Linked DNA regions of Caenorhabditis elegans. The protein of the gene in region 2 purifies or fractionates together with the protein of the main gene of each other region. This does not show direct contact. Each region holds a gene or a part of one and is shown on either strand. Other genes may lie near its edges. The genes, in order: F28H7.3, rnst-2, B0222.5 and C25E10.8.

Region 1 (6,573 bases), 9.7 Mb from region 2:
ATTACTTTTTAAATTAACGCTTAAATGTTTTTACTTGACTATAAAATGTGTTCACATTTCTTAAATAAATTTTTGATGTATTATCAAAATTGTCTGATATTTTTTCCTAGTTCCATTAAGTCTTGTGAGAAAATAATGCAAATTGCAAAAGCAATTACAAATTTTTAAAAGTAATTTTTATCAAATACATTAATAAAATCATAGACAGGATCGCACAAGAGGGACGCTGGCGGATAGCCGTCACCTGTTCTAACAAATAATGTGACAAATAGGAGAGCACATTGCCTTGAACAAATATCAATTTATACATTTCAAATATTGTCTGTATCATTTTGATTTCTGAAAAATGAAAATGAATTGTGATATTCAGTCGAAGCTTTATATTTTCTTCATTCTTTTATTTTTTGTCATTTTATCAGTGCTTTATTCAATTGAAGTGTTCAACTATGATTTCGTTTCTAGTAATTTTGGTATTTCTTCAATTTATTTAACTCATATTCAAAAATATAAAGATGCCTACCCACCAATGTTGATTGGAGCATATGAATCTGAAACCCAAATATCAGTGTCTGTTGCTGCATTAAAACCTATTGGGTAATAATTAATTATTGCATATAATTATTTAGCAAACGATACTCAATTACAGTTATACAGTGTACTGCCGATATTTCGACAAAAACGGAAAAGAACATGAAAAGCCAATGAAAAGCTTTATTTATCCGTTATTTGTTGTGATTTGTGATCGAAAATCTTCAGAAACTCATAAAGTTGCAATAACAGATGGACCAAATGGAGTAGTGCTGGAACAATTTCAGATGATTGTTACTCGATGGAATGGTTTGAAATATTTCATCAATACAAAATGTGTAATTCGATTATTTTTCAGCAAGTTACAAAAGAATGTTGACTCATTGTTCGGCTCCTTTATTTGGACAAGAACCGAAATGGATGCATCTGGTAGAAATGATCGAGCATTATAAATTACAGGTTTGCTTAAAATTTTGCATAGATAGCTTAGTTTATTTATATTAAGTTTTTACGTTAAAGTTTTTAAAACAACCATTTTACCTGCTATTAAAGAGGCATTCATTTACCTCGTACATGTACCGAGTCGATTTTTTTTCAAAACTGATTATGTTTATTTCAGGCATAAAATTTTTGTCTCGCTTTGTCAAATTTTTACTTTTCAGGGTGTCACCAAGTTTTACTTTTACATCCGAGAAATCGAATTGTATGATATGTCAGTTCTTCAACACTATATGGCATTTCGAGATGAAGTTGAAATTATTCATATTCCTTCAATCTACTTTGATGCAGTCTCTCAACAGTATCTAGCAATTGCGGTAAGCAACTACCGTATTTTTCTATAAGATCAGTTCAACTGTTTAAATATAAACAAATTATTCAACATACCAATTTTACACTTTTTTTGAACTCCAAAGCCAACCAAGATGTTGTAAACTCAAAATAATGCTAGTGTGATTAATGGGGGAAATACAGTCCTAAAATTCAAGAAAATTCAGATATTTTCAGGACTGTCACTTGCGAAACCAATTATCAGCCAATTGGACAATCTTTTCCGACATTGACGAGAGAATCATTTTGACTGATAGCAAGACAACTATTCGAAATTTTTTACAAGATTCAGTCAGTGAGAAGTATGGAGGAGTTATGTTCCCACAGCGTTGGATATTCAAATATGAAAAGCTGCCTGAAAAGTTTATTAATCCAGTACAGGTATTGAAAGAGTACAGATTTTTGTAAATGAAATCGCTCATTCTGTTTTCAGATAATGCAAGAAATGCCGTCAAGGAAATGGGAACTTACAACTCAACCATGGCTCAACTGTACAGATGGAAAACATTGCTTCTCAAAAATGATAGTGAATAATCAAAAAGTATTACAAATGATGATTCATGACGTCGGAGAGTATAATGGGAATTATCAGACTTTGATTCTTGATCCGAAAATTGGATATATAAGGTATTAAAACAAATTTTTTCAATATTTTCATTAATACTAACTTAGTTTAGAATAAGTTTAGAATAAATTTGAAAATTAGCTTAATTTTGGATTTTGCAACGCCGTAAAAAAGTTTTAAAATTATTCTGAGAAGTTTCATTACGAAATTCGTTTATTCGAGCACATTTTAAATCTATAAATTTAAAATAGTACGTTAGTGCTCCTTTAAGAGAACGGTTAGGAACATTGAATTTGATTTGATTTATTTAACATAACTAATGCAATTTACAACTGTACAATTGAATTTTGAGTGTTAAATAAAACGGTAAAACGAGACTAACCCAGAAAGAGTACGTCTCGAGTTTGGGACGGGAAAGGAGAGAGAGGGTAATGTGGTAGAAGAGATCAATTAGAAGTCAAAGAGAACCAGCGGAGAAAAGTTAATACCGGGGAATATTGAGATCGAGAAAGTTTGAAAACTGATAGGGGGAGAGAAATACCGGTATATTTTTGACAAGATTGTTCCAAATAGGAATGGATTTGGCAAAGAAATGAGAGGTGCATGTGTCTTTCCTAACCAGAATCATGGGTCTCCTATTGGAATTAGAGAACTTGACAAACTGAGTTAATTTAGAGAAATGAGTAGAACCGGTAAGAAGTCTATATAATAGTTTCATTTGAGCTTTAATTCTTGTGTGTCTGGTGGAGAATAGTTCCATGATGCACAGTCTGTTTTCGTAAGAGGTGAATTTAACGTTGCACCTTTGCAGGACGCGTTTGGTGAAGGTCCTAAGCGGTTTTTCAAGTATGGCAGAGAGTGAGGAGTTGGGGGAAGGGGAGTAGATCTCAGAGCAATAGTTTATGATGGGGGCAACGTATGTTTTAAATAAGTGGCTATAAAACTTATGGGAGTTAGAGGAGAACGCTTTGAGAATTTGCTTAGCCCTTAGCATGGCTAGGCAGCTAATTTTTATAATATGAGGTTCAAAGTTTAATTTAAAATCCGTGATAAGACCTAAATCGCGGACTGTGGAGGATGGAAGAATGGGGACATTATCCACTCTATAGGTGTGGTTGGAGTTACGGGAACATTCCCTTTTGATAAGTACTAATAATAAAATGTAGTTTCTGAATAAAAAGGTTTTATTCAGAACCTATGTGTTGAAGTACAAGACGTTTTCATAGTTTTGGTTGAGGTCTGAACAAATTAACTAAAAAGAGAAAATGAGCAATTCGTAAATCTATGTAGGCTGTGCGAACACCAAATACTAACACTTATAAACTACATATGTTGAGCCATCACAGTGTTTTATTTCAGGCACTATCGAGATGTAAATATGGGAAAATGGTGGGTGAGAAATAAGGACGTACTTGAAAAACTGAAGCCATACGAAAATACCACGTACAATTTACGTCTCCGAGACCAACTTCTAACAAATGTTCTTCAAATTCTTTATGCAGTTCATCGACCGTAAGAAGAATAAAAAGGGTTGAAATTCATCACTATCACTTTGATCTCAATTGTTTTATGTCCATATAAACTTTAACTATGCAAACAAAATGTGTCGTCATTAAAAATTCTTATTTCAAAAAATTTTAAGATCAATTTGGTAACGGAACTCACAACCGCTTAAACTTTCCATCACACGTTCGTGATCTCTCCAACGAAATGTGTGCAGCATGCCGGTTTTCCTTTCCGTCTGATAAGAGAAAAGAGCTGTCTCTAAACCTCCTAATCATTCTTCACATAATACTTCCTTATCACGGCAAGTACAAAAACTCGTCCCACTTATCTGACATTGTCAGTTTGTCTTCTTCATTCTCCCCGAAATGCTGAAACTCTTCACGCTTCTCTGCGTGGTTTACACCGCCTATGGTCTTGTCCTCCCAGCTTCTAGTAAGTTCCGAATAATTTGGCACTGACTCTCTCACATCATACATTTTCAGTGCTAGCCAGTTACACAGATGCATTTGCCAGAACTCAAATGCTTGCTCTTGCTTCAGCTGCATATTCCTCTAATCCACAACATTGCCTTGACTCTAAATTCACAAACGCTAAGCTTCAACGTCAAATTTATGTGAAGAACTGTGCTTTAGTGAGCAACGATGTGTGCTCTGGATACACTGCTGTTCTTCATAACGATAAGGCAATTGTAATAAGTTTCCGTGGAACTCAAGGATTTTTCCAATTGATTTCTGAGGCTAACAAGAGTGTCTTTGAATCACAAATGTCTTGGATCGCCGGAGGAAAAGTATCTAAATATTTTGGAGATGCTTTCACAAAAGTTTGGGCTGCTGGAATGAAGGATGACTTTGCAACTCTTCTGGCCGCAAACCCTGGATATGAAGTTTGGGTGAGTTGATGACTTTGATAAGAATATTTGCTCTTTTTGTTACGTCAATAAAAATGGAAATCAAATAGTTATTAAATTATATGATTAAAAAATGTTCAGGTGTCTGGACACTCTCTCGGAGGATCACTCGCTTCGCTCGCAGCATCTTACGTCATCGGAACAAAAATGGTTGATGGATCCCGTGTGAAACTTGTCACCTACGGAGAACCACGTACCGGAAACAAGGATTATGCTCATGCTCACGATAATCAACTTGCATTCTCTTATCGTGTCACACATAACCGTGATGTTGTTCCACACGTTCCAAATGAGGACTTTATGGGATATTACCACAACAAGTATGAGGTCTATTACCGTGAGAATATGAAGAGCGGTGCAAAATTTACTATCTGCAACGGTGATGAAGATAACGGATGCTCTGATGGGCTCTGGATCACTACATCAATCGATGATCATCTTCATTACTTTGAGAAGGATATCAGTGCATGGGGAGATAAGGGATGTAACTAAATTAGTAAATTTTGTATTTTTTTGAATTTTTCTGTATGTCATAATAAATATGAGCTCCTAATCTGAATTTTTTTGCTTTCACTTGTATTGCTCCAGTTTTCTCACAGTGTTGTTCACAGAAATTATCACGTCTTTTGGCGCCGACTCCAAACCTGTCATTGAATTTGTCAAACGGGCTCCAGGCCCACGATTTGCTTTTTTTCAAAGATTTTTTTAAAACTAGAATTTCAGTCAAATTTTGAACGGTGATTATCAATTTTTTGTGTTTATATTATTTTTTAAACATAAATGAGTCAATTTGTAAAGTTTAAAAAATTGGGATGTTTGATTTTGATGAAAAATTTTTTTTTTGAAATTTGGAGTAAATTTTTATTGGCAAAAACCATAAAACTAATTCAGTGATCAGAAAGAAGAGTAGGTCCTGTATACTATGTATAATTTGTTGTCGTTGATGCAAGCCACTGAAACAAAAATTGAAACAGAATCCGAGCCTTGTGCAAGTTTGATCAAAGTTTTTGAAACAGTTTACCCAAAACCTTCTGTTTTTTTTAGTTTGGATGACATTGTCAAGAGTTAGGGTAATTTAGATGCAGTCCCAGCATTTTCTTGTCCAGTGGTTTGTATTCTGCCTGCAGATTTTAAACAGGCTAATTAAATAACGATGTTCTTTTTCAGAAACTCAAAAAATTAACATTTAAACTTTTAATATATTGCAATTAGTTGAACAAGTCAAAGTTCTTTGAAAACAGCTTGCATCATTTTAGCCCCGTGAGCATGAGCTCCGAGAATGAGTGAAGTTCCTCCGTCGGCAACAATTGTTTGACCAATAATATAATTGGAAGCGTTTCGATCGGCAAGGAAGGCAATCACTTTTGCAATATCTTCTGGTACTGCACAAAATCCACGTGGAATGCATTCCCGTTGAGCACCGAGATAATCGTAGAACTGAAATGATATTAGATTTTACATTATTTTAGAAGAAATAATTACAGCTTTTGATTTTTCCTCTGTCAGACCTCTCGAAACAGCTGAAAATCCAGTAGATACAGCTCCAGGGCTCACGGAGTTAACTCGAATCCCTTCAGGAACAAGATCGATAGCAGCTGTACGAGTATATTGATCTAATGCAGCTTTTGCAATTGAGTAATATGGAGATGCTACTTGCTGAAATCAGTTACAGTTATATTTAAGTTAAACGTATACAACAAACTCACAGCAGCTGGTCCAGCTCCAATGCTAGAAATATTTACGATTTCTCCTTGAGTTTTTGCGAGATGTGGGCGTGCTTTTTGTGTCATTTCAATTACACTTTGCACGTTTAATTCAAATGTTTTATGATATGTGTCAATTGATTGATTCACTCCACTTTTGCCTTGAGCATCTGGAATTCCAGCTCCAGCATTATTAACCAAAATATCGATTTTTCCAAATTTATCCAAAGTTGACTTGATCAGGTTTTCTTGAACACTTTCTTGGGTGATATCTCCGACAACCACAAGAACATTTCCTTCTGGAACACCAGCACCCAATAAAATATTCTTCGTCTCTTCAAGTCTCTCAGCATTTCTTCCAGTTACAGTAACCTTTGCTCCTTCGGAAGCAAGAAGACGAGCTGTTGCCTGACCAATTCCATTGGATGAACCTTAAACTTTTCATTTGATTAAATATTGAAAAATGTTGAACTTACCAGTAATGATAGCAACTTTATCAGTGAAGCGAGACATACTATTCGAATCAAATAGTTGAC
Region 2 (10,663 bases):
ATTGTATGGTAATTCAAAATATTGCAGAAAAATAGATAATTTCGTTTTTTCGCAGTTTTTCCTATTTTCTGGGTATTTTAAATTTTTTTTAAATTTGGTATTTGCAATACAAAATTACAACAATAACAGTTACTCAATTTTTGCAACTCATAGCAAATTTTTGTTCGAAATTAGTTTCAAGTAATTGTATTCAGACGTTGTTTGAGGTATGCGGCATTGGGCTGAGTTTCTCGAAAAAATTCGTATACTTCATGTGATCTACAAAACAATGTTTCAAAAATAGATGTGAAACAAAGTTCAAATTATACAGTAGACAATTTATCAAACTTTCTGGGAACGAAAATAACCGCACATCAACTCAAAACAAAACTTCCATTAGCTGGATCATAAAAAACTCGATGAAAAACACGGAAATGTTCCCAAAGGAGACAAGTTTGGGGATTCTTGAAACTCGTTTTTACAATATTTTTCACGGTTTTAGAAGAGTTATTTGGAGGAGGTTTTGGCTCGTTTAACAGTCGTTAAAAAGGGAAAAAAGGGGAATAAATTGAAAATTCGGATGATCTATGAACAAGAAAGTCTGCATGTTTAAAAAGGAAGTTTTTGACAAGCTTAAGGAAAACCTCGAGTTAGTTTTAAGAAATATTATTTTAGCCATTAAAAAAATTGGGGCATTTTTCTATGTGCCAACCCGTACTTGTCTACCTACAAAGTTTTATCGTGCCTACTGACATGCCTCATTGCCGCCAACTAGCTGTGCCTGCCTTTGTGCCTATATCATGTCTACCTTTTGCCTGCCTGCCTGCCTGCCTGCCTGCTTTTGCCTACAAGCCAACCTATCTGCCTACCTCGTGCATACCTACAAGACTACTCGTACATGCAAAATTAATTGCCTTCCTGCAAAGCTACCTCATACCTTTCTACGTGACGTGGCAATTTGGGGAACAAAATGTTTAAAGGTTTTCCAAGTTTTGAAAATTGTTTTAATTGAAAATTTTGAAGCCTAAATTTTAAAAAATTTTAATTTCAAATCTGTGAACAAGTTTCAATCAAAAGCTTTAAAAATTCTACTAATTCTGAAAAACACCAAACATTGCACCTTCAAATTTTTCAAAAAAAAAGTGCCAGGTACAAACTTCACCGGCTCAACAAATTCTGAGCTGACCACCGAATTTTCACTGTTTCTAAGCCAGCGCGAGTTATCCGGATTTATTTTGATTTTTGAAGTGCTAAAAAAAGCTCTCGTCACCTTAAAAAAAATCAAAATTTGGAGAAATTTTTTTGGAAACTGCAAATTTAAGTTGGGGTGAAACTTTTTTTTCAAACATAAAAAAAACAAACTATCAAAAGCTAATCCTCACTTGTGACCAGCATCAGGAAGGGATTTTGAGGTTTGTGTTTATCTAAATTTTGCAATGCGTATAGGTAGGCAAGAGGTAGGCATAAGATAGGCACGTAGGCAGGCATAGCTAAAATGTGTTGGCAAGCGTGAGGTAGACACTTAAGAAAATAGACTTGACAGGGGTAGGCATATGACACCTACTAGGCAGGCACAAGGTAAATATTCAGTCAGGTAGGCATGAGGTAGGTGAGGAATCGAGCAGTGAACAGGCATCAGGCAGGCATCAGTCAGGCGGACATCAAAAAACATATGCAAAAGTTGGGTCCTTTTTTTTATTGAAATCAGCAAAAATTATACAAAATCCGAAATATTTTAATTTCCAATATTTTTGATAGCGCTCCAGATTCGTCCGAAAATAGATGGCGATGTGGAATCAGAGGATTTAGAAATGCTGCTCATCTCCGGAAGGTAGATGAACTCGGCGGGGCATGGCTGAAAATTTGTGAATTTTTGTTAATTTATAAAAAAGTTTTGTACTTTTTATCAAAAAAATAAATGAAAAAACGTGGACTTGAAAATCACCCTCAAAATCGCAAAAAAATATTTGAACGTTTTCCACGACTCACAAAATTATCGGAAAAAAATTTATTTCAAATTTGCAAAACTACTCTTCTCAACGAAAGAAAAATGAAGTCGATTCAAAATACTATCGATGAGCTTCGCAAACTTTCCGGTAAGAAACTTTGAAATTTTTGGATTTTATTTTAAATTTAATTTTTTTCAGCGGGAAAATCATCTGAAGAAGTGCAACGTTTGAAGGAAATGCAGAAGCACTCGAAAATGTTTGGCGAGATTTTTGGAGTCTACGGAGCAACGGTTGGAAAACCAAAGCCGTGAGTTTCCATTTTTGGAGTTCTGACGGTTACGGTTGTCTGGCTCTGTGCATTTGCATGACTGAAAAAGGGAAATACAAGTTTCTAGAGAATTCCTATAATTCCATTCTTGAAGCTTTTTGGTTAACCTTTTTCGAGAAACCACGAGCTTCTGGCCTTCCTCAATGCATTTTTCGCGCTCTATTGACAAAAAATTGCCTGCCGGACAAAGTGTGGGAAAGTCGTGTACGCCACACGGACAAATACCTATAGATTTACAATGAAAACCGAGCCACGAAACGCAAGGCGACACGCGACACGCAACGCGGCACGCAACGCATTGTAAATCGACCCCAGATGTGGCAGAGCGATAATGGTCTAATTCGGCGAACTCTTACATTTAAAAATTTGAGGAAAGCCAGAAGCCCGCGTAAATAGCAATTTGGAATAAGTTCTAGAAACGTGGGAAACTTGAGAAAATTCTGGAACTTTCTGGAAACTTCATTTAAAATTCTGAAATATTCACGGATTTCTGGCTTCCCTCATAAATTGAAATTTAAGAGTTTGCCAAACTAGGCCATTTTGGCTCGGCCATATCTAGGGTAGATTTACGACGCGTTGCGTGTCGCGTCGCGACTCGATTTCAGTTGCAAACTAAGTGTATTTGTCCGGGTGGAGTACACGACTTTCCCACGCGCTGTCCGGCCTTGTCAATGGAGCGCGAAAAATTCAGTGAAGAAGGCCAGAACCCCGTGAATTTTCTGGAATTTTCTGAAACATCCAGAATTCCATTTAAAAATCGCACTTCCTATGCAATGACTACCGTAAACCCACTTAGCACAGATTGCTGGAAAGTTCAAAAATGTTAAAAACTTTCTTTCAGAAAAGAGAAGGAGGTCAAAGTTCCGACAAAAGAAATGACATTCGAGGAAAAACGAAAGCTTCTCGAGACCACTTTCCCCAATAAAGTGACTCCGGGGCAGCGTGCCAAAGCACGTGAAACTCTCAATTTCATTGCTAACAACCCGGTAAGTTCCGACTATGCAACAGCGCTCTAATTGACAATTTCAGGAAATCTATGCAATCGCATCTCCGCAGGATCCATCTTCGAAGGCTAAAACTGATCCGGTGTCCCGTCCCCAGCTCAATATAATCAGTTCGTTCTCTTGGCCGATCACTTCCGGCTCGGATTGGTCTCCACACGGAAGCGAATTCAACGATTTGACTGCTCCGAGAGTTGGGAAATTGACACCGGTGAGTTCAATTCTATTTTTTACTAGGGACGCAGGCGACGAGATGCCTGCCTGCCTCGCCTTCTGCTAAAGATTTTCATAAAATGCAGAAAAAAGGCGAGAAGCAGGTGGGTTTCAGGCCGGCCAGCCTACCACAGAAGGAACGTTTCAAAGTATGCGAATGCATAATTCCAGCAGCCGACAACTGCCTAGTTCAACATGCAATTTTGCAGGTCCCCCAGTGGTCCGACATGAAAAAGTCGTCGTTGAAGCTTGGTACCGAGGACAACTTCTCCAAAATGTCATATGATCCGGCCTACTCGAATACTACCCAATCTCAATCTGTCACAACTCTCTACAATGAGACATCTACCCCATACTATGATGATTCGGATTTGGGAACTCCGCTGCATACTTGTGTTCAATAAATATTTCTAGGCACCATGTAAAAGTTCCGAATTTTTTGTTTTGACAGTGGAAAAATTCGAATAAAAAATCCGAAAGTATCTCGAGAAAAATTTGGTCTGAGAGTTTTGAAAACTGTCAATTGCCGAAAAATCTTGAATCGGCAATTTATTAAATTGCAAAATTCCAACAAAAAATGAAGGATTCGGAATTTTGGAAAAGGTCAAACAAAATTTTAAATCGTAACCAACCTGGAAGCTTGGAAGTGGTGGCCCGCGTCTATTTCTGCCAATTGATCTCTCGAATCTGCTGACTCGATTCGGATGTTTTCCATCAGTCGGACAGTCTCGGATTGTCAAGTCCTTGTTGAGACACAAGCGAATGTCACCGAGAAGGAACTGTTTGGTCTGAAATTTAATTTTTTAGCATGACAATTTTGAGGCTTAAAAGCGTACCTTCTTATCCCGGAGGCAATGGAATTGGAAAGTTTTTCCGCTGGTGACTCCGCTCAACGCGTTTTTCAAGTCGCTCGAGGTGATTGGTTTTTCCGATGGTCCAACTGATTTCAATCCTCCAGCCACATCGATAGAGTCGAAGACTTTCATTACCCTGAAAAAATTATGTATTTCTTGTTATTGATTAGTTCACTATAGAAATTTCATGCTTACCAAGACTGATTTATATATTTTTTTTAATTCTAATTTTTCAATGATTTTTCAACTCTACGAAATTTTTTTTAAGGAGATGATTATTTTTGCATTCCCGCGCAAATGAATGAACTATTTTTTGGAATTTTGAATTTGTGTGCATGTTCTGTTTACAAAGCTCGATAGTAAAATTCACCGACAAATAGTTTCCCAATCAGACAGAAATTGTATTAAGATTTATTGGTACATTCTTTGAAAACCATCATGTGTTTTTATCATTCGCCACTTGTGAATAATATTGTGAAATTTTTTTTAAAAAAAGAATTCAGTGATACAGACTGTGGTTGGTGTTTGTATAATATATTTAATTTCCGGTGCTTCATACAATATAAATCGTAGACTTCATTTCTTCATTACATACAAAAAATATTTCCCGGGCCGAACACTCTAATTCTCTCGTTAAGTCTTCGAAAAAGTAAGAATGAGATTGTACGATTTTTCTGAAATTTGCAGAAAAGTTGGGTTTTATGCCAGTTTCAGTACTAACTTTGTATTAATCTGGATTACTGTCTTTCACGCGAAAAAGCTTTTTGGAGCTTATAAGAAAATGATCATATATATCTCAGTTTTGAGCACAAGTTTCTCGGGACTAGAAATGATCATGAAACCGTTTACTCATAACTATAACGGTGCGCTGTTGTCCTTCAACTTATGCGAACTAAATATTCCACTCAAAATTCGGCAGATTTTCATATTAATTTGGTCCCAATTCTACCTAATTGTAATTTCATTCATATCTGTGCAGTTTGTGTACAGATATCTGTGCGTATTCAATGAACAGAAAACCAAATATTTTGACGGTCTTAAAACTATCATCTGGATTTTATATCCCTTGGTAGTAGGAACAATTTTCGCATTGTCCCTACACTATTTGTGTGGTTCTGATGAGTTCACAGATTCTTATATAAGGTGAGCAAATTAAGGAGCTACTGGCAAATCTAGATGTTAATTTAATATTCGTCATTTGTTTTACACGGGTAAGCGAAAGTATATATATGTTTTCGGTTTTTTTGCTGGTTGAAAATGTATATTGTAATTGAGTATAGCTCAAAAACTAGGAACTTCATAAAGAAAACTTCAACTAAAAAATTTTTGCTCGAAATGTTGTCTACTGAATAAACTACCGTATTTCCTTTATTAGTCTTGCAGCCTCTATTAGTATTGCATGCAAGACTAATAGAGAACTTACGGTGATAGTCTTCCATCCCTATTCTTGCCAGACCAGCAGTATTTTTTGAAAACTTCAACAATATCGCCATTTTATAGCTAAATTAAATTTTAAAGTGTTAAAATAATTGATAAAACAATAGAAAAGTATGTATTTTGCATGATTTAGACTATTTCGAGTCAAATTTTGACGATAAATGGCCAATTTCATAAAGCTATTGGATCTTCGAAAATTAGTCTTGCAGTCTCTATTAGTCTTGCACCCCTACGGGTCAATCAAAAATTAGTCTTGCATGCAAGACAAAATACGGTATGTTAAGATATTTCTTAACATGAAGGTCAAGAGATATAGCGGCCGACATTTTGTGAGTCCACTTTAAAGCATTTTTCTAGAAACGTTTTCTTTTTCAAAAATACAGTAAACTAGAGCTAACAGTAAAGGTTTGAACTAGCACTTTTCAAACACTGCTTTGCCCAATTGTTTAAAAACGTGGTATCATTTTTGAGTTTTTTTTTGTTGCTGTAATTACATTTCGTTTATCATTTAACTGAAAAAAAAGGGTTTACCAAAATTCAATAATCATTTTTAGAAATTGTTCGACTCGCAAAATGTCGGTCGCTATATCTCTTTACATAAATGTAATTTTAAACCAAAGTTTCTCATTTTAATTTTATCTCAAATTATTCATTACAGAAAAGCCATTTTTGAAAACTACGCACTGGAAGTATCCGAACTGCCACGATATGCAATGGTACCATATGCAGCTGATGGCTCAATTCGAGCGAAGGGTATAATTTTCTTACTCTTCGCAATTGTTCTCATCAGTTTTTCATATTGCATTATTATATTTACATGTGTTCAAATGCATCGAAATATGAAAAAAGAGCTGAAGAAATTCTCAACTCAAAATCAAAAACTTGAATATCAATTTTTCCTTGCTCTCGTTATGCAAACTATTGGACCAACTATTTTCTTAATAATACCAACTGGGCCGATATTGATGACCCCATTGATTGCACCAATTTTCGAACTTGAAGTCAATTGGCAAACTGGTAACTTGTACTCACTTGTTGGATTCTACCCATCATTTGATAGTATCGCTTTTATGATGATTGTTTCGGAATACAAAATTTTTTTGAAAAGTTATGGCATAATGATTGATCTAATATAATTGTTTTTATTACAGAAGTTATATGTTGCCGGATGAAGAATAACACAGCAGTGCCCAGTTCAGCAGTTGCGGTTTCAACTGTATAGACAATTGAACCATCTCATCAACTTCACAAATAATTATTTCATCAAACTTATTGAAATTAACATAAAATCATTATTTTTTTAATATTCGAATGAATACAGTTTTTTTCTTTATATGCTTTATATATTTACCGAATATTGTTATTTGTTATGTTATTTGTTATGATTTTGTTTAATTTTGCAAGAAAAAAAACAAAACATAAAAAGAGCTGAATTTTTTTTGAATTTCCGCGCGAATGAGTAGCCTAGTTTTTACTACTTAAAAAATAGCCAATTTTTCACACAATTCTTTAACAGTAAAGAAAACTTGATAAGCAGAAATAATTTTATGGGAACTGCCTCAAAAAAATCATGTTTCAAATTATAAAATAAAAAAAAGAAAGAAATCCCAATTAATATAGCTGGAGAGCGCAAAAATGCCAAAACTAGGTCTTCTTTTTTGGTTTTCAAAGTTTTGAAAGAGTTTAAATTCAGTAGATGTATCTACAAGTAAAACTCAAAATCATCGTTTAATTAGAAACAACTTACTCTGTGAAGTAAGCCAACTCTGACTCGAAGAGCTTCTCACTTTGAGCACATGTCCCGTGCTTATCATACTCGTGTTTCCAGAAGGATTGAATCGTCTTTTTAGGGTAGAGGTTTGGCCAGACAACTCTGAAAATTTAAAATGTTGTGATATTCAAAGTTTATTCCAAATTTTTGTAACTTACACCAATCGATCTTCAATTGATTTTATCAAATTCTCATCGAAATGTCTTGGAGTCCCACGACAATTTTGTGGGTACGAGCCATTCTCAAAGTTTGGCCACAATCCGTGAATTGACCATTGAGGGGTACCACTTGGAATCTCACAGGATTCAGGGACTGAATCATCATCGGCACGGCAGACGGCGGTTGGGTAGATTGTGGTGAACATTAGGTAGTCAAATGGCTCACCATCATGAGAATAGGCTAGGGGTATACAGGATATGCAGAGAAGAAGGAGAAGTTTCATTTCTGGAAATCTTGCGTGATTATTAGAAGTAAAAAAATAGATTAAGCATATTATCAGAAGCAGAAAAAAATCAAATGATATTTTTAGGTACACAGGTTCACTTTTTGTTTCAATTTTTCCGCCTTTTGGGCAAATTATTTTGAAAACTATTTAACAAAATTTGACAAAAATTCCACAAAGTCTACTACAATTTCAATATATACAGTTAAATTGGAAAAATTTAGAATGTTTTAAAATGCTAATAAATTCTGTAACTAATTTTTAATTTTTGACTCCAAATTTTCACCTGATTTCAAATTTAACAAAATTGAGATTTTTAATTTTATCTTCAAATTGCAAAATTACTTTGAGAGTTAATTGTAACTTTCATTGAAAAATTTTTTAAATCGTTTTCTTTCAATTTTTTTCAAAATTTTAAAACTTCAAGTTTTATTTTGGAAAATCCAACTCATCCTATAAATGCTCTTGGTTTGCGATAAATATAAGGAAGTTTTACAAAAAATAACACAAAAAAACGAGAAAAAGTATTGAAAATATACATTTCTGAATATTTTTGCCTACAAAAAATATTTTATTTAAATTTTTAAAAAATTGTATTTTTTTGATTTATGGAAATCAAAAGATTGCCAAATTGCAAAAAACAAAACTTTCAATAATCTAAAAAAACATCAATAAAACTTTTTGGAATTTTTCGGTTAGATTTTCAAAATTACAGGAAAAATTTGGTAAATTTGGTTTCTAAAATTTCATTTTAATAAGATGTTAAAAAGTAAGTATTGGAATAAGTTAAAAAATCCAAAAAATTATTTGAAAACAGCAGAAAAAGGACAATACGGATTATATTATCGACTGAAAATAAATCTGACCAAGAAACAGAACGCAATAATGTACGTACTGGAATGCTGGGAAGTGAGCAGTCTACTGGACAAAGGAGTGTCAAGTGACAGGTGCTAACAGCTGCCACATGATTTATTGTTGAGACCATTCAGATTTAAGACCAGATAATTTTTAATTAAGTGCAACTACATAGGATGGTTTTTGGTTTGAAAACTAATTTATTAGGAAAACAGAACATATTTGACCTCGCAGAAGAAACGCAAAAAAGAATGATACATATATCTTATCAAGAAAGTAGGTAAAGAAAAAACAATAAATGATAACAAACAGAGATAGTGTGACCTGAAAACAGAAAGTTTGATAGCGACTCAGCGTGGCCTAGAAATTGCGAAAAAGTTCGGCCACCAAGAATAGCGGCTAATATCAAACTAAAATGATCAAATGTAATGTAGAAATTTCAAAAGTTGATGTGAAATTTTCCGTCAAAAAACCTGAGCCACTTTTCACCCATCATTAAAAAGCAGGAAATAAACACTGATATTTTCAAATTTTGAACTTGTTTTAAATTATTGTTTTCAAACATTTTCCTCTGCAGAAGTGATTGAAGTTACTTGAAACCCCCTAACTTATCAAAACTTTAAATGAAATAATTTGAATTAGGTAGTTATTTAAGATAATTGTACAACATTAAACAACCGTATTGCCTCTATTACTTTTGCATGCAAGACTAATTTTTGATTGACTCGTAAGGGTGCAAGTCTAATAGAGGAAATACAGTTTTTAGATAAGTTCAACCGTGCATAATTACATTTTTAATTTGGCGCAAAAGTAATTTTTAGAGATATAGAAAAAAGCATGTCTGCTTCGTTATTTAAAAAAAACGTAGATATTTAGGCATAAGGCATGTCAGCTTACTTTGTAAATCTTAACATAAAAACAAAAATTATTACGACGTTAAGTTAATATGATACCCCCCAAAGTGTAATCACAAAAAGCACAAAATCAAACATTTTTACAAGTTTTTTAAAACTTGTTGCTGTAATGAAACGACTGATATTTAAACGAGGTAATTTAAAATTGTCAACAAATACAAAGTAGCAGCATTTCAGAAAATTAGAACTAGAGTAAAATGTTCAGGCCACTTTGATTTACAAAGGTTTGAAAAATCAAAACAGTTCGCTTTTCGGATTTTTTTCATAAATTATCTAATTGTAAACTTTTTTTTTGATTTTTCGATTTTCTGGCCATATACAAAATCGAAAATGTTCGTTTACAGTAGTCGCCTACGATAGTTTTCAATTTTGGTGATGAGCTAGCAATAAGCCTTGTTTTCACGTTTATGGTTTATGCCGGATGTATAGTTTTTTGTCACAGACATATTGACAGCATTGTATTTTTTAATTAATAGTGGTTTATAAAAGCTGGGCAAAAGAAAGTATTTTCAGTTTTTCATATGTTTTGGAGCTTTTGCATTTTTTGGTTCACTAGAAATGACTGCAGCACCTCAAAAAATCAGATAAATTAGCGGGGAAAAAATCCGGCAACTTTCAACTTTCGCACAATTTTTGAGAATTTTTTCAGTTTATCCAAGTGAAATAAAAATTATTTTTAGATGAAGAAAATTTTTTATTATTGAAATGCACACTATGAAATGCAGTCTTTTTGGAATATTTTGAGAGAAACTCTACTTCCCCATTGAGTTTCAAGTTCGAGAAAACATACCCACTGATATTATTAGAATCTCTAATCTTTACACTTTTACCTTTCAGAAAATGCTTGGCAAACAATGGAGTGATCTTCTGAAACTCATACAAGATGTGTCAGCAGGATTTTCTCTCATCATAAATACATT
Region 3 (7,666 bases), 8.1 Mb from region 2:
CCAACCAAATATTTATTAAATAGAATAAGGGAAAGGGAAGTAAGGGACTGTCTATAGAATTGGGGAAAGGAGAAGTTGGGCCTCGGAGGATCGGTAGGGAATAGGGCTATATCATTGTTCACTCTGTCTTATTCTGCAATACCGGGCTCCTTTATAGGAGCCTCCTAATTCGATTAGCAGGGGGCGTGAGGGATGCAGGGGAATATGGTAATAAAAATATGTATGGGAATGGGAACATAAAATTTGTGAGTCAACCAAGATGGGAACGGGAAATAATAATTTTGAAGAATCGCATCCAATGCGACAAAGTTCGATGTTTCAAAATCAAACAAGTTTCGAAAACGAATTATGACGAAACAAAACGTTCAGGCTCAAAAGCTATTGAGAATTGAAAACTATCCCTAAAGGTATTTTGGCTTCCTTTTGAATGTTTTGTTTTTTCACGGCTGCAAGAAATACATGTTTACTAACAAATGTAAATGCGCAAAACATGCCAAGAACTTTTCCACAGCAGAATCCCGATTTTGGATCATTTTACCAGGAAAAATTAAGCCATTCTAAACCTCAACAAGAATCACAAGCACGTGACAATATGTAGCGATTATCAAATTTCAAGCAATGTTTTGCATTTCAGTATACACTAGAACTTCAATTGAATTGTTGAAAACTTAATTTAGAAAAATTGAATCAATCAAGATATGCAACATTTCAAAGGTTCATTCATCCTTCTCACAGAAAACTTTTCTCATTTTTCCCCAGCACATATTCTTCTTCTTTGAACCAAGCAAGTTCTATCCAATTAGAGGAATCATTTGCATATTGCTCAAGAGAACCTGGAATATGAGACGCAGACTGAAAAGAAAAAGGCGGAGAACGGAAGGCACTTCATAGTGTTTTGGCACCACGTTTAAGAGCCTCGGAGCTTCACCCACAGGAGCCATTGGAAAATATCAAAACAAAACATCTTTAACCCCTGGGTGCTTCACTCATTTTTTGGTTGCAATTTCTAACCTCTTTTTTTTCTCTTTTTACAAAACCGGGAGGCTCGTTTTTTAATCCATTATTCACATTGTTTTCAGTTCAATGAATTCATCACAGAGTACAATCCAGAAAGAAAAAGAGAAAAAAGAAGACGAGGAGGTGTTGGAATTCTTTTTTTTTCTATTTCTGGGTTTTTTGTTTCGAGTTTGAAACTGCAAATATTTTGAACAAGTTTTAAACCTATTTTTCTGCATCTATTCGTTTCAACTTTAATTTTTTACAAACATTTGCTCATAACTCCTTCATATCCGACTATCATACATTTGATTAAGAGTTTCTAAGAAAAGAAAAAAATTAAGAAAAAAAAAAAGTAAAAACTAGTATCCTAGGAAACTTTGACAGCATGTCAATATTATAGGCGGACAAAATTCTCAAAATGAATTCTATATGTGATATTGCAAGGGGTTTTGAAAATTCAAATTAGAAACATTTATAAAGTGAAGAGACCTGAATAAAGCAGGTTTTCAAATTACAAAATATCCGCATCATAAAAACCATACAGTTCAAACAAATTGCCAACAACTAACCAAAACTTGAACCAATTCCTTCACACTAATGGAATTAGTGTTTGTTCTTATTTTGTTTGATCTAAAACTATATTTACTTATTCCTTTTAAATTCAACTCTTCATCTCAAACTCTGTGGAAATGACACTCCTAAAAAGTTAAATTTCAGTTGAACTCCGTATTAAACCAAGTGAACGGAAACAATTATGAGCGTGCACCCTGTCATTATCTGTCTTTTCATTTTCTTTTTCATTTTGCCGCCTTCTGCAGATACTACTGTGAAGTGTTTTAAAGGTACGTTGAATGAGCAGAAGAGCATTTCGTGTGCGTGACGAGTGATTCTTTAGGGTTCTCGGGAGATGGAAGGCCGTTCAAACAACGTCTTTGTCAGACAGAATATTGCATAAAGTGGGTTGAAAGAAGAAAAAGAAAAGGCAGCAAGTTTATTGGAATTTTCATTTTGCAGAACGACAGAGCCAACTGGCGGAGCTACTTACGGATGTGATGACTTTACGCCGTTTTGCAAAGTGAGCGAACAAAACGAGTTTGAAATTGAAAGAACAAATGTGCAAAGTGAAAATCAGAAAAAAAATTGTCGAAAAGATTGAATGTGGCGCAGCCCTGGTGTAGATTTTCTGGAAATTAATTATAAAAACCATACTCATTGAAAGAGCAATGTCAACTTTAACAGAAAACAAATACTAGAAGCGGACAAAACCCATATGTAGCGGACAAAGCCCAATGCTACATACTGTAACTATGGAAAAATAACGGAATACACTTTCGCTTGTAGAAAATGAGTGGGGTCAATGCCGGTTTTATCTAAATGTATGTATTGTCAATTTGCCAAAAAATGACCAACAGTGAATAAAAATCACAATAAGGATTATTTAAACTTAAATTTAAAAACAGCGTATTTTTCTATCGTCTGACACTTAACAATGGTTCCGGTCTTTGAAAAAAATATTAGAAAAATACATTCCTATATGTTATACTTGAAGCTCGATTCCCGTATTGTTTCTCAAAAGTATAATTTATGATTCTTAGTGATAGAAATTCATTCTAGAACGTTTTGTTGTTTTCTTATTCTAAAAACTCGTGAGTAACGTTTTCTTCCAGTGATTTCCATAGAAACTTCTAGACTTTTCTATTCTTTTAATCTTTTCTCAATGTTTTCTTTTTTTCAGAAAGACGAATGCGTGGTCACTTCGAAACAAAGTAAAGTCTGTTGCTGTAATACTGATCTGTGTAACTCTTCTCCAATCACTTTCTGGCCTGTGTCTCTACTATTCTTCATTTTATTTTCTTATTTTATGTCTAGTTATTAGTTTGAACTTTATTTATTTAAAAAAATATTCCGACAAAAACGGGTTATTTTCTGATGATTCACTTCTTTTCCCGAATAAATGTTTTTTCAACTAAAGGTAATTCTGTTAGTCAAACCAAATTTATTGGTGTAAAAACGAATCCAAAGAGAATAAGAGAATGTACCAGTTTTATCGATTGATCATTGCATTCTAGTAGTTGACATAATATGATAAAAAGGAAGTAAACCTTTTTTTTCGTTTTTCGTCGAACAAAGATTCGTTCAGCAATTGATTCCTTTTCTTGTTCTCAACTAGCACTGATACTGCTTAGTTTTTTCTTTTGAAAAAAGATACTGTTTCAATTTTTAATCTTTCTTGATTTTTTGAATCTTCGGAGAGAAGAAAGAATATAACTTGGCTTTCATATCCTAAGAAAATTATTTTTTTCTCGAATTTTTCCTTTATTTGAAATATTTTTGTTAATGTTTCCAAATATTTGTGAACACTTTTTGATTCACCTATTTCATATGCACAGAATTTATGTACATAAAAATAACTTACATAAAATTTCATCGGCGAGTGATGAAAATAACCAAAAGCCAGTAATTCCCAAATACAATAGATCACTCAATGATCAACTCATAGCTCTTACTATTTTTTGTTCTCGAAAATCAAATAATGTTTGTTTCACTAACTAGTTATTATTTACCTTCATTCATTTCCTCGTTTCAATCATTCCTTCGAACGCAATTTTTTGATTTCCGGCATGCGAGCTTTCTGCATAATATTACTTGTTGGATTCACCCAAGTCAATGCTCTGTTTGGAGACAGATTATTACGAGCCAGGTTAGTTCTTTGGAACAAAAATTGTTAGGCACAATTTATGAAAAACCAATTTTGAAATAATTAGAACCCTAGTAAGTGAAAATATTTTTCAACAGTTCGGTGTCCACTATTAAAAAAATAACAGTTTTGTTTAAGAATTTTATATTAATAAAGTGTTGAAGCAACTGGTGGAAATTTTAATTTTTCAACATTACTTTGCTTATTTCAAATTTATTATAAAAATGTAATATTTTATTACAGAAACCCAAAAACTGGACCATGCACGTTGAATGATGATGGACTAAAATGCAATGAAAATGGTGATTCTAAACTTTAAATTATATTAATTTATTCATAATTTTAGGATACTATGAAACTGTACAATGTAACTCTGAATCATGTTATTGTGTTACTCCTCACACTGCACTTGTTGCATACGACACACGAACCAACAATCCGAAAACCGCGCCAAAATGTGGAAGTAAGTAGAGACCATTCAATTTCCTAAGTTTTCCCAAAAGTGACGTTTATCGTTTCAGCTTGCCTTGTTTACCTCCAAAAGCTGTTTGCCGACGGAGATCCTCCAGAAAATAGTTTCGTACCAAAATGTGACGTCGGAAAAGGTATGAAAAAATAATGCTAAAGATAAAATATAAGTATTTAAGGTGATTTTGAGCCTGTACAATGTGACAGTAAGAAGAACCAATGCTACTGCGTGGACACAAATACTGGAAGAGAAATACAAGGGACACGAAAACCATTGAGTAACACAACAAAGATGAATTGCATGCAAATTGGTAGTTCAAAATCATGAATAATTTAAAATAATTCGATAATTTCAGATTTCTCCATCGATTCGTCAGCATTCCCCGCTTTTGAAAAACCAGATCCTGCCAAACCGAAAAATGATCAACCGATTGGAAAACCATGGTGTGCAAGTAACAGAAATGCTGGACATACATGCAATCAAAATAAAACTTCGATAAGAGTAAGTTGATTTTAAACCTAATAAAAAATCGGGCAAATATTTTTTTTAGTACTGGTTTGACGTTGAAACCTTCCAATGTTTCCCATTCGAACACAAAGGCTGTGGTGGAAATCAGAACTCCTATAGAACAAGTAGTGAATGCTATTTTGACTGTGTCTTGCGTAAGTTATCCACGTATTGTTTTCATGAATATAAGTGACGTTCACCAAGGAAAATGATCACAAGTAGGCCTATGGTACCAAAAATTGTAAAATGTTTCATACATTTTTGACCCAAAAGTTTGAAAACTCTGAGCCCCTCATTGACGTATTCAATTTTTAACTCAAAAATTCAATTTTTAACTCAAAAATCAAATACGATAATTGAATGCAGTTTTATTTCAGAAGACTACTTCAGTTGTGCAATGCAATCACAACCAGCTAGAAAGTCGAATGGACAATGGTATTCTTGCCCAGAAGGCCCAGATGGTCCACCAGGTATGTTTTGAGATTGATGGTTTTTTAATAAAACTTTCGAACTTTCTACTGCATAAATAATATTTGAAAATTAGCTACAAATTTTTGTGGTGAAAAACGAAACTTACAATTCCGGTTTATAAAATGTTATTTTTTATTTCATTTAAAGGATCCTGTTTTTCGGATCTGAGCTGTTTAAACGTTAGAAATACAATGTTTTAAAAACGAGTATTAGTTAGTTTAAAACTTTATTAAAGTAATAATGAACATTAAAAAAACTAACTGAAATATTGCTTCATATTTTTCAGGCTTCAAGACTACTACAACTCCAGGCCCAAAACTAACCTCTGATGGTTGTCCAAAGGGATATATTTGTTCTATGGGAGCATTCTTTGGTATTTGCTGCGAGGAGAACTTGACAAGTAAGTAATCATATTAGCGACAACCAAAACACAAAGTTTCCAGATCGCTACCAAGCAGCATTCAAACCATTATGCAAAAACAAGAAAGAAGCTTTGCAAACGAAACAGGACGATTGGTCGAGTGCAATGCTCGGAAAATCATGTTCCGATAGATTCTGTCCAAGCAGTCATACTTGTGAACATAACGAGTTTTTTGCATATTGTTGTCCGCGTTAATATGTGTGTTTTGACGTTTGTTTTCTTGCCCATTCGAACCGCCCTTCAATTCACATTCTAATTCAGGTTGTAATAAATAAGAAAAAGTATTTGTAGTTCTTTTGTTTTTCACAATGATATGTAATGTATATTAAACGACCTTTCATCTCTTCTGTCCTTTTCTTCTGTGTTGGTTTTCCACCCAGACAAATTGCCGGCCCCCTACTTTAAACGTGTCTTCTCATAGCATTGATTATTGATGCCTATGTGATATCAATATCTTTTATATTCATTTTCCCTCCTAAAAGAAATATGTTCAGAAAACTGCACCGAAACAAAGTCTTCGACCATACTAGATACTTGTTGATTTCTGATAGTGTCCTGTTCACCCCATAAAAATGTGTTAAATGCAGCAAGCAACAAAGTATATTTGTGATTGAAATTTGATGCGAATAGAATTTAAAAATAGAGTGATCACAGTTCTAGCAGAAAACGAATTTTCACAAATGAATCGGAATGATGACTTGGTCTATTTGAATTCGCTCAATGTCTCCGCAGACATGATGTGTACCCAAAAATGACTTGATTGATGATTTCACAAATGTTCCAGTTTAGTTTCGTGCTTTATGTGGAATATGCTACAAAACGCTAAAATACGATAATCGAAGGCTTCAAAACTAAACTGCGGTGGACTTTTCTAGCTCGAAATATGCAACTGAAACAGTTGTTGGGCTATTCTTTGCTCAAGAAAAAATTATTACGGCACAACAACTGTAATTTTTTTTTCTAGAAAAAAATTCATTTGAAAAATGGACGCTGATGAAAAAGTTATTAAATGAGCCGCGTAACTACATTGAAAAAATGTTAAACGTATTTTCAGAAATTGTTTTGTTAAATTGTAGAAAGAAGAATAATCAAAAATAAAACTCATAGTCAGGTAACTTTTTTTTGAATATTTTAAAGCAGAAAACGAAGGATCTCGTTTAAACTTATCAAGATTGTTTTTTGATGTCTTAGTTCAGTGTAGTTCTCTAAATAAAACAAGAAATATAGGTTTATCCGTATGTTTGCAGAAAATTAGTTCAACAGATCAAATGTTCATATTAACGTGACTTTTAAAAACATGAAAGACGGATCAGTTCAAAGTACGTTTCCGAAGTGAACACATGGAGATATTCAAAGTACATGCTGATCAAAAGAGCTTGAAATTAAAATTCGAAAATGTTCAATTGCCCTATATGCAAATTGAGAAAAACGTGCAAGTGGGGATCTTGTTAAAGATTTTGTTGTCTTAAACTTCCAGTCAAAATTTTGGCGGATTGCCAAATTTTTAAACAATACAATCTTTTAAGAAAATAAAAAGCAATGTCACATGTTCCACTCCTAGAATTTTTTACACGAATAAAAACAAAATTATAAAATTCGTAAATCGTAGAAATAATTTCTTTTGGTCTATTTCCAAAATTATTAATGAAAAAAATTGGTAATTGTCACTTTTTGACAGTAACTAAAAATTTTCCAACAATAATTTTGAAGGTAATTTTGAAACCATAGCAGTAGTTTCATATACTTTCCTCACTTGTGCTGCTCCTCCTTTAAAATGATACAGTCTACAAATCGAAGAGACTTCGAAAAATCGATAAAAGTTCGAGCAAAAACTATTAAAAACATTTCGATTTGAACCATAATTTAAAAAAAAATCCAGAACAAGATATAAACTATCAAAATTGAGAAATGAAGTGCAGAATAGAGATTACGGCGTTTTTAATAGGCCCGATGTTCAACGATTAAGACTTGGTGTATAGCTTATATATTAACATGCAGTACTAAGTTTCAATCGGTAAATTTGCTTTATTGTGTGATAGGATCGTATATTTTTCTATTTTCAAAAGCTTAAAACTAAATTTTTAATTTTAATAAGTTGGTA
Region 4 (5,983 bases), 8.0 Mb from region 2:
CTCAAGTAGTTACCGGAAGAGTGAAAAAGACGTTCTTTAATATATAATTATAAATGGAAATCAGCCAGAAATGAAATGATAATGACAAGGTTTTCATTTGAAACGAGAGGGAAAAGATATTCAAGAATTGGAAATTTAGAATGAGTTTCAGCCACATCTCATAACTTCACACATTCATTATGTTTGTTTGAAAAGTCACAAAGTTATAATGAAAATGAACATTTATTTATTAAGACACCAATACTGGCTAAAGAAGAAACTAAATTCTATTTCCCTTTTGCCAAAGGTATTTTTGAAAACACTGAATTTGATTCTAAGAACAGAAGTACTGTAAAGAAATGATAAAAGGTATGGCTTAGAATAAAATTGCATTATCTGAATACTGAATATGTGATGTTAAGCTTTCAGTACAGAACAACTTTTTTTATTGAAAAAAATGTAAAAATAACTTTATTGATAAAACCGTTTCCAAAACTGAGCTTATATACCAGTCAAACGGGAAAACTTTAGTTTAAAAAATACCTAGAAACTAGACAGGTGAATTGCGTTCAAAAATCATATATGATCTGCTAAATGTCAGCATAAAATGGATTCCTTGAAAAGTAATTTAGTAAAATCGTACCGGAATTCAGTGAAAAGTGATACAAGTTCGGAAGACAAAACGGGTCTCAATAATTTAGATGTGCAAAAAGCTTATTGACGTAAATTTTATGTATAATTATGGAAAGTACGTAATACTTTTTTGGTAACGCAGAATATCGAATAAATCTGCTCATGAAATTTTCTAACTTCGAAGTAAGTGCATTCTTAAAATCAAAGTTTTGATTCGATTTTTTTGGCAGAAAGGTATAACTCAAAAGTCCCGAAACAAAAAATATACATTTTGTTAACGGGCTTAAACAGACGCAGTTATTTAACTTCATAGTTCAATTCAAAAATGACGGCGGTCTCGAAAAAAAATTTGAGCCTCTCACTTTTTTGCATCATCGAAAATCTATTTCCTTTTGCGCATCGGTAGGTGTGAAATTTGAAGCGTCATTGAAAAGGTCAAGTTAAACGTTTTTTTGGCATTTCAAATAGTATAGACCTAAACGTATATATTATATTTGAATTCGTTTCATTTTTGAAGTAATATTGTAGTGAACTATAATATTGAGACATTCAGTTACGCACTATGTTTTGTCATACTTATTTCTTAGTATATGCATTTGATACAAAATACAAACTCGGAGGTTCAAAATTGTAGACTCGAGCATTGTCAGATGTGTATTTCAATAATTAACGTGTTTATAAATAATGAGCGAAATACTATGACGGCATGAAAACGTCATGTGTTTAAATAGAAAAACTAACAAAGGCGTCGAAAGTCAAAAGTTTCAAAAATATAAAGTAAAGGGAAAAATTAATTTCCTATAACTTTTGCCAAATTTTTTCTGGGACAAATGATATTGTGCAGAAATTGGCAGAACCTTTCTGACGCGTACCTATTGGTATTTATGAATGTGATTATTTTTATGTTTACGAGGTAGAAAACAATTGCAAATGCTCACGTAAAATAGCGTAGTCTTTCATTTTCCAGAATGTGCCTGGAAAAAACGCTGCTGTAAAAGAATCGTGATTTTTGAATTAAAAAGTTTTAAGCGTCTACGACATTTTCTAACCTAGACATTACAAAAGAATGATTGATCTTTTTTTGAATAATTTCCTTGCTTAAGTTTCTTATTTGTTTTTTGTGTGTATGTTCCTATATTAAGAAACCAAGTAGGGGATGAGCTCAGCTCTGCCACACGGTTAAATTTTTTAACGCATTTTTTAACGAATTTTTTTTCCAAAAAAATATATGATGCCAACATTTAAACTGTCTGTTTTTGTCGCTTTTGGAATGTTTATGAAACAACAATTGCCAATCCTAAAAAAAGTTTTGTGTGTAGCATCGAACCTATAAGACCAAATGAAATTCAATACTCTAGTGAGGTAATCTGTACCCAAAAACGAAAACTTTGTGTACTCCGATCGGACACAGTTTTCCATCGGAATGATATCACGATCACGGCATTGTTTGTGTTTTGTTCCAAAAAAGAAATATAAATTCGTTTCCATTTTTCCAGTTCATGGTAACCGAATGTTATTCTATTTGGCAATTTGTTGGTTTTTCTCAGAATATGAAATTCAACGATTTATTATCACAAATGTGAATACAAAATGTTCACTTTGGGCACTCCTTGAGTTCGGTGCATCTGTAACCGTTTCGGACAAAACCACTGGAACACTGGCAAACATTTACAATGCATTGTCTGGTACATGGTCTTGGTCCTGGTTTTTCACAAGTTGGCTCACAAGCGGTTCCGCATCGGAAGAATGTCTCATTTTCCGGACATTTGCTAGTTTCCTTGGTACAGGTGGAAATATCGACACATTTTCCAAGTGAATTACGCACAAATCCTTTCTTGCAGTCGCATGCGTTTTCAATACATTGAGCAGATAGACACACTTTCTGAAAATTAAATATTATAGGAGAACATGGAAAATTATAGATTACTGGAGTGTATCCGCATTGTGTCTCACAGTGATCATGGCATGCAACCATTTCCTCGTTGGCTCCACATGTCTCTGAAAAGTAAAATGTTTATTTTCCAGAAATATTTAACAATAATCATTTAAAAATAAACTTACTATTGGCAGCTGTCGCAGCAGCAATAAAACAGGCAATTATGACAAAAGTTCTCTAAAAACTCATTAGTTTTTGCATTGCTCTAATGAAAAAAAGAACGAACCATCACAGAAAGAAAAGTAATGCAGCAGTCTGATGTTTTCTTTTGAAATGACTCTATTTATTGTTCGAGAACACTAAATCACGCAGAGGACTCTAGTCTATCAAAACCGCCCTTTTGTTTGCCAGAGACATAGACATTGAAAAAAAACGATGACCAATAAATCCAAAAGATCAAACAGAGTTTTTTTTAGTTTTTCATGCCAGGAAAAATAATACTGATGTAACAATTGTGTTATCAATAATAGCACACAACTCCAGTTTCCTTCATCACACTTCTTTTTGAATTTTTTCCAATATTTGATGGTTTATTGAACTTGGAAATGTTTACTCAAAAACAAATTATTTTGGACAATCTTTCTTATCAATGCATCTGAGTCCATGACGAACGAAACCTTTGGAGCATTGGCAGACATTGACGATACATTGTTTAGTGCAAACTGTTGGATTTGGTTTCTCACAAGTTGCTTCACAAGCTGTTCCACAGCCAAAGAATGTCTCATTTTCTGGGCATTTTGTAGTTTCCTTGGTGCATTCAGATACTTCGACGCATTTTCCAAGAGAATTACGAACAAATCCGTCTTTACAGTCACATGTGTTCATGATACATTGCTCCGTGCAAGCTTTCTAAATTTTGAAACTTTCAGTAATGGGAGACACATTAAGTTAATTGTTACAGGGGTATATCCACATTGTGGTTCACATGTATTATGGCACGATACCAGCTCCTCATTGGCTTCACATGTTTCTAAAAAAATATTTATGATCTGGTAACCGTTCAAGTACCAAATCACATATATTTACTTACTTGTGGCGGTAGCAACAGCAACGATGCATGTGATTATGACAAGTATCCTCTGTAAGTGTATAATTTTTATATTAGAAAAAAAACTCAAAAACTCACCATTTTCACAATAACGAAGGGCAACCAACCGATGTTTTGCTTTTTAACGGCTCTATTTATTGTGCCGGAACACTAAAAAACGGCAGAACCGCCCTTTTTTTCGGAAGGGATGATACGAGAAACATGATAAGATCGAATGGGAGATATTATAGGTCTTCTCAATCTTTTGGAGAGAAATTTATCTTTCACCGGTCACGTATTTATTTTGTAAATTGGGCTCACAACAAAGGTTTAAAAATCTCGAAGAATTTGTATTCGAAAATTCAGAAAAAATCAGAAACACATTAAATCGAGAACCTTACGAAATTTCATTCCGACCAATGATTTTAATGAATCAATTCACTAGAAGATATCAATTTAAAACGTATCGCTTGGTGCAAATAGTTTTGGCTTGGCTCACTGGAGAGTATTTCGAATGTGTTTCATCCATAATTACCAACTTAACATTGTTTGGTTAACACTGACTTTTTGTATTCATTGTATTGCAACACGGAATAGTTCATAAGTTTTTTGGCTATTGAAAAGGAATACAAATATTATGTTAAAATTCGAATATTGTTATTTTTAAATTTTCTGAAAACATTAGCATGAAAACATCAATATTAAAATATGAGAAAAACAACTTTTTTTTTAATCATCGAAAATATTATTCAGTGGTATGTTGTGCAACACATACGTCCACAATTTGGCATGGTTTCTCCTCACAAGTCAGCTCCACAAGTTCACATTTTTCGTTCTCAGAGCATTCAAGAGTGCATTTGCCTGAATGAAAAATTTATGACTAGTATTATGTGCAGGTTTTCAGCGAATAATCACTGATGGTTAAATTGGTTAAAGTCTAGTAATAAATTTTGAAGCTTACTGCATTTATTTTTCTCCACACATTTTCCAGTTGCCGAGTCTCTGACGAGTCCTTTCTTACACTGGCAGACGTTTGTCATACACACCAAATCACATTCCTGAGAAACAATTTATGATCATACATAATCTCAACGTTGATTTACTGGATTCTCGTTATCACATGTCGGTTCACACGCTGAGCCACACGCCTTGAGCTCTTCATCGCCCTCACATTCCGGTTTGCGGATTGCTGGAAGTTTCCAAGAACCACTGGATATTTTTGGTTTCACTACACTTACGGATTGGCACGCACTTTGGATCAACTGAACAATCGTCTTCAGAACCACATTCCAAGTCACTGACTGGCAGTTCGCATCTGAAAAAATATTTTAAAATTTATAATTGGAAATATTAAAACCTATAATTATCAGGACATTTGATAGAACCACAGAGTGCGTCTGTGTGAGAAATGGGCATGTTTTCTGTGTTTTCTGAAAATAAGTCATTTGATTTTTAAATAAAACCTTGGTACTCACTAAGAACTCCAGATCTAGCAAAAGCAAGAAGAGCAAAGAAAATAAATAATTGAAAATTCTGAAAAAACACACTTTCATTTGTTGTAAGATATGAAGAAAAAACCACTCACCATTTTGATGAAAGAATTTCTGAAGAAACTTTCGGAGTGGGGAAGTTATGAGAAGGAAGCAATCATTGAAATAAAATTGACAGGCGTGAGACCGAGGATGAGTCAAAAGATTAATGACTTGGTGAGACCGGAGAGAGTTCAGCCGACCGGAATATTTCTTGAGTGCTGTTTTTTTAAGTTTAAAAATATGTTATTTACAAAATTACTTTCTACGAAAGTACGCCTGAGAAGAACAAAGAAGTAACTGTTTTCGGTTTTTGCTTGAATAGACTCAAAATGCGCCCTAGGCAAAATTTTGGTAATGAGAAATCTCAAAAATTATGCAATTTTTTTGAGAAGTCTTATTATGAAAGTTGCCCATTTGAGTATTTTTATTATATACAAGCAAAAACTCAAGACTGTTGGAACAGAAGATTAACTGCTGGGATGGGCTTTGAATATATTCAAAATAGCTCCAAAAGCCAGAAACTTCATAAAAATAACTCGCAAAAATACTCAAAAACTGTGTACAGCCGTTCAAAAATTTTTAACGTTGTTTCCAAATTGTGAAAAAAATAGTAAAAGAAACAAACAATAAATATTTTGTCAGCTAACAATCTTTGTTTAGAACAAACGACAATTGAGATACGCTGATCAGCTGCCAAAGTCGAACAATAGGTGTGATTCTAATAGATAAAACACGGTACTTTCCAGTTCCAATAATTCCAATACCCCTAAATCTAATTCATTTATGAGAAGTCTCCTATTGAAAATTGATAATTTTAAACACGTTTATGTGGTTAGTTTGCTCTCAAAACAGTTTGCTCCGTCGAAAATTTTTTAA

What was found.
Region 1: the proteins of rnst-2 (region 2) and F28H7.3 fractionate together in Caenorhabditis elegans (co-fractionation; one large-scale study listed by BioGRID). This does not show direct contact.
Region 3: the proteins of rnst-2 (region 2) and B0222.5 fractionate together in Caenorhabditis elegans (co-fractionation; one large-scale study listed by BioGRID). This does not show direct contact.
Region 4: the proteins of rnst-2 (region 2) and C25E10.8 fractionate together in Caenorhabditis elegans (co-fractionation; one large-scale study listed by BioGRID). This does not show direct contact.

What each region holds. Positions count from the first base shown.
Region 1 is NC_003283.11:10,747,921-10,754,493, reverse strand, and holds F28H7.3 (Fungal lipase-type domain-containing protein), read left to right. Parts: upstream 1-3,705; 5' UTR 3,706-3,792; coding exon 3,793-3,859; intron 3,860-3,909; coding exon 3,910-4,316; intron 4,317-4,415; coding exon 4,416-4,826; 3' UTR 4,827-4,889; downstream 4,890-6,573. Other genes in the region: gtnt-24 (Glycosyltransferase family 92 protein), read left to right, coding at 347-594, 647-837, 887-987, 1,191-1,343, 1,534-1,737, 1,790-1,983, 3,281-3,437; F28H7.2 (DeHydrogenases, Short chain), read right to left, coding at 5,556-5,771, 5,817-5,990, 6,041-6,468, 6,514-6,550.
Region 2 is NC_003283.11:1,058,908-1,069,570, reverse strand, and holds rnst-2 (Ribonuclease T2 protein rnst-2), read right to left. Parts: upstream 7,977-10,663; 5' UTR 7,975-7,976; coding exon 7,691-7,974; intron 7,635-7,690; coding exon 7,509-7,634; intron 6,984-7,508; coding exon of another isoform or gene 6,913-6,983; intron 6,869-6,912; coding exon of another isoform or gene 6,420-6,868; intron 5,468-6,419; coding exon of another isoform or gene 4,980-5,467; intron 4,461-4,979; coding exon 4,307-4,460; intron 4,259-4,306; coding exon 4,103-4,258; intron 3,890-4,102; exon of another isoform or gene 3,875-3,889; coding exon of another isoform or gene 3,680-3,874; intron 3,469-3,679; coding exon of another isoform or gene 3,286-3,468; intron 3,243-3,285; coding exon of another isoform or gene 3,098-3,242; intron 2,236-3,097; coding exon of another isoform or gene 2,127-2,235; intron 2,076-2,126; coding exon of another isoform or gene 2,030-2,075; exon of another isoform or gene 2,003-2,029; intron 1,835-2,002; coding exon 1,715-1,834; 3' UTR 1,663-1,714; downstream 1-1,662. Other genes in the region: K10C9.7 (Homeobox domain-containing protein), read left to right, coding at 2,030-2,075, 2,127-2,235, 3,098-3,242, 3,286-3,468, 3,680-3,874; str-67 (Seven TM Receptor), read left to right, coding at 4,980-5,467, 6,420-6,868, 6,913-6,983. UniProt on the Caenorhabditis elegans protein: Probable endoribonuclease involved in the autophagy-mediated degradation of ribosomal RNA and ribosomal proteins in lysosomes.
Region 3 is NC_003283.11:9,150,824-9,158,489, reverse strand, and holds B0222.5 (BPTI/Kunitz inhibitor domain-containing protein), read left to right. Parts: upstream 1-3,617; 5' UTR 3,618-3,620; coding exon 3,621-3,700; intron 3,701-3,940; coding exon 3,941-3,999; intron 4,000-4,043; coding exon 4,044-4,160; intron 4,161-4,218; coding exon 4,219-4,302; intron 4,303-4,344; coding exon 4,345-4,476; intron 4,477-4,521; coding exon 4,522-4,667; intron 4,668-4,716; coding exon 4,717-4,828; intron 4,829-5,050; coding exon 5,051-5,143; intron 5,144-5,430; coding exon 5,431-5,544; intron 5,545-5,587; coding exon 5,588-5,760; 3' UTR 5,761-6,169; downstream 6,170-7,666. Other genes in the region: B0222.15 (Activin_recp domain-containing protein), read left to right, coding at 1,754-1,841, 1,895-1,955, 2,014-2,074, 2,735-2,875.
Region 4 is NC_003283.11:9,051,156-9,057,138, forward strand, and holds C25E10.8 (TIL domain-containing protein), read right to left. Parts: upstream 2,915-5,983; 5' UTR 2,778-2,914; coding exon 2,775-2,777; intron 2,726-2,774; coding exon 2,674-2,725; intron 2,611-2,673; coding exon 2,540-2,610; intron 2,495-2,539; coding exon 2,207-2,494; 3' UTR 2,107-2,206; downstream 1-2,106. Other genes in the region: Serine protease inhibitor swm-1, read right to left, coding at 3,113-3,397, 3,448-3,518, 3,579-3,627, 3,675-3,677; C25E10.10 (TIL domain-containing protein), read right to left, coding at 4,321-4,436, 4,537-4,633, 4,679-4,764, 4,814-4,890, 4,933-5,005, 5,051-5,108, 5,161-5,163.